Linked DNA regions of Nothobranchius furzeri. The protein of the gene in region 1 binds, or shares a complex with, the protein of each later gene. Links are inferred from orthologs where the notes say so. Each region holds a gene or a part of one and is shown in the gene's direction. Other genes may lie near its edges.

Region 1 (7,388 bases):
CCGGACAGTTTGCCAGAACCTCTTTGGAGCCGATCGATGGTCTTTCTCCATGGCTTCACCAAACTCCTCCCACGCCAGAGATTTTGCCTCGGCAACTGCCACTGCTGCACCCCTCTTGGCTATCCGGTGCCTGTCTGCTGCCTCCGGAGACACACAGACCAGCCACTTGTAAAAATGAAAATATTACCACTCTGGTGAAGTACTGTAACCTTTTTTGGTAACAGTTTCCTCCACCTCTCTTTGCTGCAACATCTTGTTTAAGTCGCATAGCTGTCTTGGTGACAGAGCGTGCCAGGGTCTGTGTTTGTGATTGGTTGGGATGACTCTAGTTGGAAGTTATCAGATAAAGAAAAGAAACTTTTTATTGAAGTTTGTATTGACCCTTTTTTATTGCATTCACTCACACACACACACACACACACACACACACACACACACACACACACACACACACACACACACACACACACACACACACACACACACACACACACACACACACACACACACACACACACACACACACACACACACACGCATGCATGCACAGATGTTCCAGTTGCATTTGAGAGGCAGAGGGGTCTTTGAGGTCAGATAGGGTGATGTCAGACTCACAACAGTCTAGGAAACTAGATTGCTCTGATACAACAAAGAAGGTCCATTGTTTACATTGTAGCAGTGCTGCCGATACAAAAGTACCATCAGTTCAAATTTTCAAAGTCAAGAGAAAAAAAATGAAGTAATAAGGAACAGAACTGGCATTAATTTGTCATTTTGTTACAACATGAACATTATTATGTTTTGCACCAGTTAAAATGTGAAGCATTGCACATAGTTTTGTCTACTTTTATTGAGCCTTTTGAAGATATTTTTTTGTTGTTAAATGGAAAAAATATCAAAAGCAGTTATTAAAATTTTTTTTATGAATTGTTAGGTTATTTTACATTTACTGATGCCAAAAGATGGAAAGAAAGTGATGAGAGAACTGAAGCTAGAGAGGAACAAAAAGAGTGGGATTAAGAAATGACACACAAACAAATCCCCTCCAGCTCTCTCTTATCTGGCTGTCAGCAGTCCAGACTCACTGCTGCTGCTGCTGCTGCCTCTGTACTGTCCAGCACACACACAGTGTTGCTGTGATCACCTGATAGTCTCATGTTGTTGTGTGAATTTAGTTCACCACTATTCTTAGACCCTGCTGTGGCTGGCAGAGGAGAAGGAGAGTGGGAAAGGGCTGGGGAAAGACCCGCACACACACAATGATGCTCAGGTAGGAGTTGGTGACATTTACCCTGGCTTGTGTGCATCTGAGTTGTCATGGTGATGTTGGGGAGTGTTTGAGGGCATGCTTTGTTTTCTTAGATTCACTTTGTTTTAGCCCGAGTGTTGACCGCCTCGGTCTTTTTAACCATTTGGAAAAGAGAAAGTAGGAGTTTAGTTTGTCAGCAACAGAGTGATGGACAAAGTTAATTCTGTCGGTTGTGATTGTGTGGCTTATGAGGATTTTAAGGAAGCATTGTTTTAGGTTTTAGCACATTGTTTGGGTGGAATTGAGAGCAATGATTCTGCACTTTAAATACCATCCAGGTTATGTTTGATGTCCAGTTGGAAGGTGGTGGATAAATAAAAGAAATCACAGTCCTGATTGGATTTTATTTAATTTTACTTTTATGATGTAAAATTTGAAAGGATTAGTTTTGTTTGTGTTTTAAGCAACAGTTTGTTCCAGGAAACCAATACCTCATGACTTTGAGTCACTATCGGTTATTGAAGTCAGACTAGTACGGGTTTTTAGCAGTCACAAAGTAAAGCACTGCTTTTATGAATGACCCTCTTCTGTTTATCAATGCTGTGACTGTCACAAGCTCACTAATACATCCACCATTTTCTATCACACTTGTTTTTCTTTCACATTTTGTTTTCTTTATAGAACTTTGCTTTTTCTTACCTTTTCAGAGCATCTGTGCTTAATTCTGCATTTCCCCCAATTTTCTTGTAATGTCATCTAAAAAAAATCAAACATTTTTTTTTTTAGATTTTGTCTCGTGGGTTTTCCGTCATCCTTAATCTTCTCATTTAGCATTTTTTATAGATGTGCTTGAAACGAAAGCAGCACCAAAGTTTACACAGTTCTTTGGTTTCATAGGGAAACAGGCGTAGGTGGTTGTGGCTTAGTTATAAATAGGTTCCTTTTAATTATGAGCAGTGTTGGAATTCGTTTATTGTTTAAAACTTTTTTTTATGATGTTGAAAGTTTAAGGTTTTGGTAAGATGGCCTGATCCATGACGTGTGTGCTCATACAACAAACAGTGGCTACACACAATGCAACAGGCACCTAATTCATGAATAAATCACCCATGAGACGCTGTAGTCCAACTGCAAGGATGCATGTGACAGACTTAAACAACAGTCTGTGCAGTCTTGCACCCAAATCAACAAGATTGATATCGGCTCAGCTCCATATAATGCAATTTGAGCCCATTACGTAAGCCAGAGAGGCGTTACGTCACACGTGAAGTACTCCGACTGGGTAAGAGGTCTTCCCTCGGATACGAGCCAAGAAAACCAAGGGTGGGTTTGGGTTGTGGAAGACGGTCAAACATTAACTTCCAATAACCACATTCCAGAGAAAACCCCAGACATCAATATGGGAACAACACATGACACAAGAGGAACTATTTAACGGAAAGTTTATCGGTTATACTGCAGAGAAAATGTCAACATCTTGAATTTGCAACAAAGGGAAGGAAAGAGCTGAAACGTCCAAAACTGCTCCGTAACCCTAACCCACGGAAAAGCTGCGTGGCCAGTCCACCACTTAGCTGATTTTAAACTTGAATTTTCCAAATGTTGTGGTTTATTTGGGGTAGATGAACAACAACCATTGGAGCCTCGGGGACAGATGGGTGCCTTGTTTCTAGAGACATAAGATAAACGTGTGTCTGAGAAAGGCAGAGAAGTCATTCTGCTGTATTCACAACAAATACAGAGTGAAAATGTGTAATCTTAATGTTGGGCTGTGGTCGAATACGGTCCCGTTATTCTTTATTTATTTATTTATTTTTACGCAAAAAAGCAAATAATCAGTTTAATTAAAATGTTTCTTGCGTGGGATTTTAATGTTAAAGGAGACGTAACGTGGAAATTAGTCCAGTTTGCTGCAAATGACTCATGTTCTTTTGCTGGTTTCCTTCCTAAATCATTTCACCTGCAAGAACGCGTGATATTTTGACAACGATGTTTGGTCCATGCATAGAGCGGATGCACATGAACCACCTCTTGTGAAAACAAACTACCATTGGCAGGAATTTCATGTCTTGTCTGCGCTCGTTGGCCAACAATTGGAGTGATGCTGTAGATTGTGGGTATTTTGCTGATGAGCCAAACAGACTTAAGTGTTCCCATTCCACCTCTCCCCTCACATTGACTCTGAGCAGTTCTGTTAAGACTCACACTCTGTTCCCAATACTAAAACTATATTTAGTGCCCATCATGCGTCCATCTGCCTGACCCATCCATCTTTTTGTTCAGATGTAAACCCTTGACCATCATCAAGTTTGTCCAATCACCAGTCAGCTTTATAGCCCCTAATAAATCACCCAGATGACTGAGTTCCTCAAAAAAGAAAAGTCATGTGTAGTTAATAAGGGGCCATGTATCCACAGTAAGTAACTTTTTACAGTACACGTTTCTATGGGTACAGAGTATGTACAGTCTATGGTACAGAGCTAACTGTATTAAAGTTTTTGTTTCTGTCATCTGACCATTGAAAGCAACCTCATGACCATTAGTCACTCTTTGGGTTTGGCGGTGAATAATCCTTTCAACACTTGAGAAAGTTTTATTGGTGACTCAACTCCACTCGATTTCCGCGTTGACTATCTCTGAGGAGGTGGCTTTTATAGCGCTTTGTGCCTCTCTACTGGCTGGGGAATGAGATGGATGAATGGCAGCTGTGGCATGAATCTGCAGCCTCTGCCATGCCCAGTCCAGCTGTAACCGTGTTTCTCACTAGCTTGCAAGTTCATCCAGTTTACATGTCCCCACATGCTTGGCATGTGTAATGATTCTCAGTGGTCCTGATTGCATTTTCCTGTTTTTATCCACTTAACTTCCATCTTGATTTTTTTTCTCTTGTGTCCACCATTCCTCCCCTTTAGCTGGCCACTTCCCCAGCTGGAGCCCAGTCAGATTAGACTGATAGTGTACCAGGACTGTGAGAGGCGTGGCAGAAATGTCCTCTTCGACTCCAATGCCAAGAAAAAGGGCACGGAGGAAACCCCCATCACCGTGAGTCACATGTTTACTTGGCGTTTGTGTATTTTTGGTCCTCTAAAAGCCCTTGCATGATTGCTTTGATTAACCTATGGTCTCTCTTATACACTCTGTAGTACATGTCAACCAGACCGTGTGCATGTGACTGACGATAACCCTTATTTGCTATCAGGATACATGCAAAAACATAAAAAAAGCTTTTTAAAATGTCACTTTTTATCACATCTCTTCATCAGTGCCTTCATTTGATTTTCCCTGCAAATGAGGACACACTGTCACCATCGCTGGCCTTTTTAAAATCTGCACAACTTGTTTAACATGTAAGCCAGCGGCATGTTGCCAGCTAACCTCGACCGGTTTGTTCTGGTGCTCTTATCTCCAGTAATAATAGCCTCAGCTGACCGCCCGTGTGTAAGCAGCATTCTTTCATCCTCACATGATGGGCGTGTCACTCACTCACCGTCGTTATTATTCATCTCTCTCTTTTCCTCGATGATCCTAATCTCTCTCTGTTCTGGTGTCATTTCAAAATGTGACCTTTTAAATTTTTATTTTATCATGGTACTTGATTGTGTAGATTTCTGTTTCTTGGTCTTTTTTCCTTCACTGCCCATTTAAATTTCTACGTACTTTTGTTCTTTTCTTTGCTTCTCGAGCTTCTCGTTTAACTTCTGCCTCCCCGGCATTGAAATTGGAATACTTGCTTAAAAATTTCACCTGATTTTCTTTAAACTACTGAAGCGTCACATGTAAATAACACTGTCGTCACATGTAGTTTCACATTTTGTTTAAAGGAAACACTTAAAAAAAAAGGAAAATCTGTGCATTAAAGCCTTAATTATACGTGTTACACGATAGGCTGTTCATTATTTTGATGCATCTGCAGTGCTAGTGGTTTGCCAGCTGCTTTGTGAGTTTTATCACATGACTGTTTTTGTCAGCTCATTGGAATGAATTTTAGATCAACGGCTTGAACGTTCAAAGCACGTAGAGAAAATGAGGGATCAAGCTACAGATGATTATTAAACAAGGGTCAGAATGGATCAGAAATGAAGATGTCCAGGTGGTGAAGTTTGGGGGAAAATATAATGTCAGGAAAGGGTTGGAGAATAAAAGTAAAGGTGAATAAGTGGAGAAAAGAGACGTCTTATAGGAATTAGAGAGGGGTGTGGAGTTTAGAGGCAGAGGAGAGGGAGATAAGCAGGGAGTGATTGCAGCGCTGCTCAGTCACGAGTTCTCCAGGAGTCATATGACTTGCTGTCACATGCTGCTGGACTCTGTGTATATTCCTCACACTGCACTGCAGCAAACACACACACCCATGCTCAAACTCGGCGCCATAAACTCGTCCGTCTGCACAAACAGAAAAACGTGCACACATTTTTTTAATCAGGTGGTGATTGCATCTTTAGAGGATGAAGCAACAATTCTCTTCCTTTTGTCTCCCCTCATTCTGGTTGCTACAGTGGTTTCAGCTGAGCTGAAAACACACGCGCACGCACGCACGCACGCACGCACGCACACACACACACACACACACACACACACACCCTCCCCAATGCATTCCTCCTGAATAGGCTGCCAAGTAAAGAAGGCACATGACTCTGGCTGATTGAGCTCACATTGCTGTCAGTTAGCTGTTTACCCAAGTGCCTCTGGATTAGGTTTCTGTGTTTTATGACCCACACAGTTTGACTTCATGTCATTTTCCCCATGACAAATGAAGCTGTCAATATATGCTCACTTTGGAGCAGTAAATGTATTTATGGAACGTTTTTGAAAACTAATATGCACTATATATATGTTTTATTTTTAAAGTAATTTTAGTGCATATTTCAGAGTCAAATGAGCTTTTAGGTTATCTGAAATAATCTTTGTCTGTGACTTGAAGAGCGCTGATACCCAGGTGAAGATGTTTGGGAAATGCTGCCACCTCCGTCCGACACGAGGCAGCAGCAGTTCCCTGGACAGCTCCTCGTCGTGTGCCTCTGATGCCAGAGAATCCAAGGATCAGGGCCTCCGCTTCCAGGTAAAGCAACACCCTGCAGTAACAACACGCGTCCAAAAGCTGCAAGTGGATAGTCTAAACTTGACCTTTTTCAGGTTAATGCAATAAAACATTGTTTTCTTCCTCAGGGTTCAAGGTGTTCCTCTGATGTAGTAATGCTGGGGGAGATGATGTTTGGCTCCGTAGCCATGAGCTATAAAGGGTCCACTCTCAAAATCCACCAGATCAGGTAAATAAGCAATAAACCAGTGACTAATTGTCTTTTTTTACTTTAAAAATATTCATAACGTTGGAAATTTGGAAAAATCAGTTTCATGTGACTAAGGGAACAAACATCTGTGTTTATATCTAAGTCTTGTTAGGATTTCTGTGACTGAACAATAGGGGTGTGTGTTGGCACGAATCTGGCGATGAGATATGAATTGCGACTCGATATCACAACACCAAAAGCCAGATGGTTTTTGTGATTTCAAGACTGAATTTGATTCGAAAACTTTGTTCAGAGGCTTCTAAAGCCGTTTTTACATAACAATGCCATCAATTTCCACCAGGGTTAGGGTTAGGTTGTATATGAGTGATCAGACAGACAGTTACTGCAATATTACTACCAAGCGAGGCACAACAACTTGATTTATCAGCACCGTGTCTTCAGAAAGGGCTTAAGACGCAGAATAAAGGCGGTAAAGCACCACACCAAAGGAATGCAGTAAATGTTTACATGTAAAGTCTCAATAACAAAAATACTACAGGGTATCCGCGGGTCCTTAAAAAGTCTTAAAAAGTCTTAAATTTACTTTTCCAAATTTAAGGCCTTGAAAATCCTTAAAAATGACAAATAATCCTTAAATACAGTTTCCAAAGGTCTTAAATTACCAAAGACCCAATAAACTAGATTATTTTATTTCTGACATTTTCGTGAATTTCAGCATTTTTTGTGTACGATGTTGGCGTAAGCGGAACCATACACATTCAGTTGGTTGTGAAAGGGGACTATTTTTAGATGAGCACGTTAGCTGGTTAAGCTAGTGGGAGCTTGCGCCATGGAGAAGTGCAAGTTTAATGGTAACTGGATGGCTAATCCCACGTTCGCGACGTGGTTAGCAC
Region 2 (7,255 bases), on another chromosome or scaffold:
CTGGCCACATTCCTCCTTTATAATCTAGCTTGGATTAGGGTTAGGATTAAGCAGCAGTAGCTCAGGAGGTAGAGCGGGTTGCCTCATGATCAGAGGGTCATGGGTTTGATTCCAGCTCCCGCCAGGGGTATCCTGCTGTTGTGTCCTTGGGCAAGACACTTCACCCAACTTGCCTGTGTTGGTGGTGGTCAGAGGGGCCGACGGCGCCAAACGGCAGCCTCGCCTCTGTCAGACCTCCCCAGGGCGGCTGTGGCTACGCTGTAGCTTACCATCACTAGCAGTGTGTGAATGTGTCTGAGTGTCCTAAAGCAGTTTGATGTATCGTCATCATTTCAGAGATGAGAAGGTTGAATTCAGCAGAAAAATAACTTTATTTGTTGTCTGACAGCCGGGTACGTTGTTCCTGCCTCCAGGTCCTGCTCAGGGTTAAAGGTAGGCTACTGCTGCAGCTGGGTCTGGTCACGACCGGTTCTCCCAAACATCTGATGGACTTTAGAACCGCAGCATGTTCCCTTTTCCAGACCATAAACACAAGAGTGAAGCCCCAACGAGGCCCGGTGCACAACCACCACTCGTCCTACGCTAAACCCAGTCAGCAACAGAACCGGTCAGCAACAGAACCGGTCAGCAACAGAACCGGTCAGCAGACCCAATGGAAAGGTTTGTGGAACATTTTGTTCCCGTGGAATCACTGGAAAGCAAAGAGAGTAAAACGTTCCGTGTGTGCGTCGGCGGGGCCCGTGAGCAAGTATTGATCTGTCTGGAAATGCAGACAGACAGCAAACAGCCACAGAAACAGAGACAAGCAGACAGGAAGTCAGCGCCACGCGTCTGGCTGTTTATTCTGAGTGAATCCGATTTATTTGGTTTCATGTCTGGTCGAAGTGTCCTTCACACGGAAACCTCTCAACGACCTGCTGCAGCTCGCTGCTGCCTGACACAGCAGGTGGCAGCGAAGGTGACGTGGAAATCAGAGTTTCTCCTGATGCCCGTAGAGGAAAAACTGATACGGTCTCAGGAAAGATTTTTATTCCAATTCCAAAGTGGATTTTTTAGAAACGCTAAACGTTGTTATGTTTATTCATGTGGCAGACGCTTTCATCCAGAGCAACTTGTTAACCTGTAGGGTCATCTGTGGGGGGAACCCGGAGGAACCCCACGCTTGCATGTGGAGAACTTGCAGCTTCACAGAAAGACTGCAGTTGGGTTTTGAGCCTGCAACCTTTTTGCTGCGAGGCAACAGTTTAACCCTCTCAGGCTCAAAATAGGTTCTGATGAAAGGACGAACAACTACGTCCTTCAGGGGTTCTTCTGATGAAAAACACTCATGAACTACGTATGTGGGGTAGCAGGGTAGGTAGGTGCTAATGTGCAACGCCTGCCTCCAGAGGGGCGATACCTGCACCGCCATGTTGGACATCACCAGCTTGCTGGTGGAGATCAGGGGCACCTTCCTGCCTACCAGTCATTCTCCCCTCTCCCCGCTGCTCTGGGGCTCACCTGCACCACCGGTCCCTCCAACCACTGCAGGTAAGGAGTGCCTTGCCCAAGGGCACCACGACTGTGACTAAAACATGATAATATGTGCCGTGGAAATGATTCATTTAACTATTAATATGTGTGAGGAAAATGATCAAACCTCGTGCGTTTGTGTTGTGAAAATATAAAAATAAACTTAACACTATAAGTGTCATCAATTTTATTTTAAAAACATCCATCCATCCATTTTCAGCCGCTTATCCGGAGTCAGGTCACGGAGGCAGTAGCCTAAGCCGGGACACCCAGACTTCCCTCTCCCCAGCCACTTGGGCCAGCTCTTCCGGGGAATCCCAAGGCGTTCCCTGGCCAGGTGAGAGACATAGTCCCTCCAGCGTGTCCTGGGTCTACCTTTAGGTCACCTCCCGGTTGGACGTGCCCAGAAAACCTCACCAGGGAGGCGTCCAGGAGGCATCCTGACCAGATGCCCGAGCCACCTCAACTGGCTCCTCTTGATGTGGAGGAGCAGCAGGTCTACTCCGAGCCCCTCCCGGATGACCGAGTTTCTCACCCTATCTCTAAGGATTGAGGGTAGGAACGTAGATCGACCGGTAAACTGAGACCTTCGCCTTCCGGCTCGGCTCTCTCTTCACCACGACAGACCGGTACAACGCCCGCATCACTGCAGATGCAGCACCAAGGATTGAGTCTCTGCTTTATGCAGATGATGTGGTCCCGTTGGCTTCATCAGAACATGATCTCCGGCTCTCACTGGAGCGGTTCACAGCCGAGTGTGAAGCAGCTGGAATGAGCATCAGTTCCTCTAAATCTGAGACCATGGTCTTGAGTCGGAAAAGGGTAGAATGCCTTCTCCGGGTCAGGGATGAGGTCCTGCCCCAAGTGGAGGAGTTTAAGTATCTCAGGGTCTTGTTCACGAGGGAGGGAATGCTTGAGTGCAAGATTGCAGCATCGTACCACTCGATCCTTCTTTAACGCCTGAGCTGATAAAAGCATGATCTTACAACTGCTGTTGTCTGGCTATCTAAGTTCATGAGGGGGTCTATCTCAACTCCCAGGTTGGTAATGAGAGACCTCCTAAAGGGTGCCAGGGAGGACAGGTCGCCATCAGGAACTTTCCCAGGGCCATTTGTCCCTAACAGCGTGACCTTGTCATCATTGCGCCTGAGGAAATGTATTGCCATCCAGTTTCTGTCATCGAGACGGTCCAACAGGGACCGCTCAGAGGCGGCGCAGACGTTCCTAACATGACCTGATAGTCAGCTGTACTGTGTTCAGGTGAAACCAGATGCACTGCCTGCGAAGTAAAGAGAGAAAGGTGTGTGTCATGGAAACATGCAGAAAAATCATGCCAGTTATAGTTTGTTGTTTTTTAACATTCTCATCACACGTACCGTAGTTTGATGCTGTTACACGCACTTATTACAAAAATCCCTAGTGTGTGTGTGTGTGTGTGTGTGTGTGTGTGTGTGTGTGTGTGTGTGTGTGTGTGTGTGTGTCACGAAAAAAAAAAGGGAGATTGTATGATCCTTGTGATGAGTGATCAAATATTTAAAAACCGTACAATCATAACAATATGCTAAACAGTCATACTATTAGTGATGAAACGGTAAAAAAAATCACGTCATATAAAAACGTCAGACTTTCGAACAGGTTGTAAAAATATCTAAACGTATCTTGACATTTGTCCTGTTGTAAAGCAGGGTAATACTGCCCTCTCGTGGCTAAAACCACGCAGCACAGACTTCCGTAAACACTTCCGCACAAACCGGAAATAAGCCCCGTATGTCATGTGACTTAGCTGGTAGCTGGTAGCTCTTGTTTAGCATGTAGAGCGTCTCAGCGGTGTTTAAAGTCATCTGAAGACGGTATTTGTGCATTTTTTATAGCTTATGTGTGTTTTGTTTAGCGGGCCGTTTGTACCGGAAGCAGCATCTCTGTTGATTAGCTGACATGCTAGCTTGTTTTATTTAAACTTGAGTGTAGACTTTGAGTTAGTGGTTTTTGTGGGAGGTTTTATTTGTTAACATTCGTTTTCTGCCCACAGAGACTTAACTAGATCAGACCGTCATGGCAGACGTGAGTATGACCAGTTTTCTCAATTTTAAAGAACTTTTACAGTTTTTTAAACAAAGTAAGCTAGGTGTGTTTATGTTGCAAACGGAGACGGTTCATTTTGGTGTTTTCTAAGGTCTGATCAGATGCAGCTTAAAGCAGATTTCTCTAGAAGCTGTTTTAATCAGTTAAATGAGTCACGAGTCTGAGATTGATTTGTTTTGTCTTGAGACGCTGAAATAGGAATTAAACCAGCAACCAGACATTTAAAGCAGCAGTCTTTTTATTATTTTGCGTCCAGTTGTCATTTTGTTCACACAGCACTGATGGAGTGGTTTGTTGTCTTACTTTTATAATAAAATGTTTAATCCAGTTTTTGTGGGTTTCTCTGCAGGATTTGAAGAGATTCCTGTACAAACAGCTCCAAAGGTTGGTGTTTCCATGGGAACGCTCAGTGTTTCACCCGTATGTAGTTGTTACTGATCCATTTAAACTCTCCCAGTGTTGAAGGTCTTCATGCCATCGTAGTGACGGACCGAGACGGTGTTCCAGTTGTGAAAGGTAAGGAGCCAGTGCTAAAGTCCTCCTCACCTGCCCGGGTAAGGGGGCCATGTCCTCATTTCTCATTTTTACAGTTGCCAATGACAACGCCCCCGTCCAAGCGCTGAGACCCGGTTTCTTGTCCACCTTCGCTCTGGCCACAGATCAGGGCAGCAAACTCGGCCTGTCCAAGAACAAGAGCATCATCTGCTACTACAACTCCTACCAGGTCACACAGCAGCTCCTCTGAGCGTCGGCACAGGGATGCATTAATGTTCATGCCTTTACATAAGTCTCCATGGTGATGCGTGTTTCTTAATCAGATTGTGCAGTTCAATCGCCTCCCCCTGGTTATCAGCCTGATCGCCAGCAGCGGTGCCAACACAGGTAACATCTGTCTCTATGGAGACAAACAGATGTTCAGTCTGGTTCAGTGTTCTGTTCTGTGTTCTCAGGTCTGATCATGAGTCTGGAGAAGGAGTTGACTCCTCTAATAGAGGATCTGAGGCAGGTGGTGGAGGTGACATAGTCTCCGACTCACCAGAAGACTTGCTGCTCACCACCATCCTCACGATGTGTTTGGGTTCTGTAGGAAATTCTGCCTGCAGCTTGTTCAGTGTGGACCAGATTCATTCACGTTGCTGTAAATGTTTCCATCTGTGCTTTTAGTCTGAATAAATGTGTGGGTTCTGGGCACCAGAGTGGTTCATTTAGAGTTAAACCTAAAGAATACAGATAAGAACCTCAGAGCAGACGGAGTCCAGATGGTTTCAGAGGCTTTAATTTAAACATTCATCAGTCATGAACAAAGTGTTTCCACAATAAAACTGGTTCTCCTGCTTCTGGAAACTCACATTCTCATGTGGAGATATAAATAAGCCACTCACATGTCAGTTCTACCCACAATGCTTTGCTGCTGGCATACAGCATGGCGAGCATCAGAACCCTGACATGTCTGAGCTTCCAGCTAACTGGTGAAGCAGTTGATCTTCTGATGGACCCATAAAGATCTTCAGAATGAACAGAATTCATTTAAAATATGAGTCCTGTTCCGGATGGTTCTCATTCACCGTTTCCACGACAACCTGGAGGAGGAAGCTGCAGACGAGTGTCATCGGCCTCTTCTTACCTGAGACTGGAAACACATAGTTGGTGGATTAATGGTTGAAACTGTAAATACATTCAGAAGTATCAAGTCCTCTGAGCTTCAAGGCTCCTTGGACTCGTCGGTTAATTGAAACATGAGGGAAATGGATCAGCTGGACTCACATCCAGAGACGTGCATCTTCATCTAACCTACTTTCTCCAAGACTGAGATCATGTCCACCTGACTTCCTGTAGAGGTCATGACCTCAGGCCACCAGCTCCCTCACTTACATGCAGCCGCAGGCCTCCTGATCCAGTTCAGACTAGGGTTGGGTGATCTGGATCATTTTTCCCACCAAAGCGATGCACGGACTGATTAGCGAACACAGAAGAAGCCCAAAAATAGATTTTTTATACAAGCGCAGCGCATGTTTGCTGGAAGAGAACCCCTAACTCATTTTTATTCATATTCAGTCCAAACAAGCGGCTCAGAGTGCCCCAGGGACATAAACTACGTTTTCACTTGGAGTAGGAACCTTTCACTGCTGCGGCCCGAACGCCGCGTGACCCCAGCTGCTCATCTGCAGCTTGTGAATGGTCAGATGTCTCCAGGGAGCTTGCTGAAGAGGTTATGAGCTTCTGGACTGTCTCAGGCTCCTGGATGTGTAAATGTTCTGGGTGGATCCACGCTCCCCGACGCACTCGAAGCAGGAGCTGATGAATGACGAGCGCTACTTTAGTCAAAGTTTTAAACCAGGAAACCTTTCTCCAAACCAAATAACCAGAAGTCCCCTAAGTGAGCCATCTGGTCACCCTACTCGCAGCCCCTCAAGCTGCACCGCTGCCACATTTACGTACGCTAACACACAAAAACACCAAATAGTTTTGTTCTCAGGAATGATTAAGTAATATTTTCACTTTCAAATAAGCATCGATGCAGCTTTAACTCAAAACAGCAACACAGTTAAAAAAAGGAAAAATCAGGGTTAGTGGTGACTTGTGCCATTTTTAGACTGGCCTGCGGGGGGCACTCGTGGTGACCCCAAGAGCACCTTGGTGCCCGCAGGGTCACCACGTTAGTGACCCCGCCCTAAAGACTCGGGCTGAGACACAATCAGCAGATGAAGAAATCTAGTGGATTTTAGCAAAGAGGAAGTGAGACAGGAAGTGTTTTTTTAGTTTGACTTACAGACGTCTGACAGATGTGTGTCTGACAGATGTTTACCTGAAAGATGTTTACCTGACAGATGTTTACCTGACAGGTGTGTGCCTGACAGATGTTTACCTGACAGATGTGTGTCTGGCAGATGTTTACTGGGCAGATGTTTACCTGACAGATGTGTGTCTGGCAGATGTTTACCTGACAGGTGTGTGTCTGGCAGATGTTTACCTGACAGATGTTTGGGCATCTGAAGCTGGTTTTCCACTCACCAGTTTCCACTGGAGGATCTTGATCCACTCGTCGGCCTCCACCGCTGTCTTAGCACACAGATAAAAGGTTCGCTCAGGAAACACCAAACTGGACAGAGAAGAGTTAACAGAACAGAGGTCAGACGCTCCGACTCTTAACCAGTCAGGGAAGCATCATTTTCCTGTTTTCCATCGACATTGTGACGTTTGAACCCGTTACTAGTTTCCAGTTTTATTTTGAAATAATGTCTCATGTGCTGGTTGACTTCCTGTTTGTGTGTCCACAGTCCCGTCTTCCTCTTCCTCTTCCACTTGTGTGTAACTAATCTTTGATCTTCCTCTTTCAGATTCACGTTTATTTTCTCTCCCGGTTCGTTCTGCTGGATGATTCTGATCCCACCCGGAGTTCAGTTTTCCTGGATTAGATCTGAAATATTCTGTTTTCTTGAGATTGAAGGAATCAGAATCATCTGTTCCTGTTTTTCTGATGAACTGAAGGTGAAATTGTGTTGAAACCAGTTCAGCGATGACTGAAACTTCCTCTTCATCTCACTCTGATGTGGTTTGGGGAAGTCCAGCTGCAGCTGATCCGATCCATCTGCTTGGTTCTGTTGGGAATTCTGAAACCGTTCAGGTGTTGTTCCAGCAAACAGTCTCAGTGACTCTAAAA

What was found. The genes of interacting proteins can lie anywhere in the genome.
Region 2: fnip1 (region 1) and lamtor3 share a complex: the UniProt entries of both Homo sapiens proteins name them as parts of the lysosomal folliculin complex. The link is inferred for Nothobranchius furzeri from reciprocal best matches to the Homo sapiens genes FNIP1 and LAMTOR3.

The regions. Positions count from the first base shown.
Region 1 is NC_091750.1:58,905,363-58,912,750, forward strand, and holds part of fnip1 (folliculin-interacting protein 1), read left to right. Parts: intron 1-1,143; exon of another isoform or gene 1,144-1,259; coding exon of another isoform or gene 1,260-1,270; intron 1,271-4,161; coding exon 4,162-4,291; intron 4,292-6,167; coding exon 6,168-6,305; intron 6,306-6,412; coding exon 6,413-6,513; intron 6,514-7,388. UniProt on the Homo sapiens protein: Binding partner of the GTPase-activating protein FLCN: involved in the cellular response to amino acid availability by regulating the non-canonical mTORC1 signaling cascade controlling the MiT/TFE factors TFEB and TFE3.
Region 2 is NC_091758.1:44,826,109-44,833,363, reverse strand, and holds lamtor3 (ragulator complex protein LAMTOR3), read left to right. Parts: upstream 1-3,245; 5' UTR 3,246-3,362; intron 3,363-3,541; 5' UTR 3,542-3,564; coding exon 3,565-3,573; intron 3,574-3,943; coding exon 3,944-3,978; intron 3,979-4,051; coding exon 4,052-4,110; intron 4,111-4,184; coding exon 4,185-4,318; intron 4,319-4,412; coding exon 4,413-4,476; intron 4,477-4,544; coding exon 4,545-4,618; 3' UTR 4,619-4,783; downstream 4,784-7,255. Other genes in the region: dapp1 (dual adapter for phosphotyrosine and 3-phosphotyrosine and 3-phosphoinositide), read right to left, coding at 5,201-5,224, 6,607-6,694. UniProt on the Homo sapiens protein: As part of the Ragulator complex it is involved in amino acid sensing and activation of mTORC1, a signaling complex promoting cell growth in response to growth factors, energy levels, and amino acids.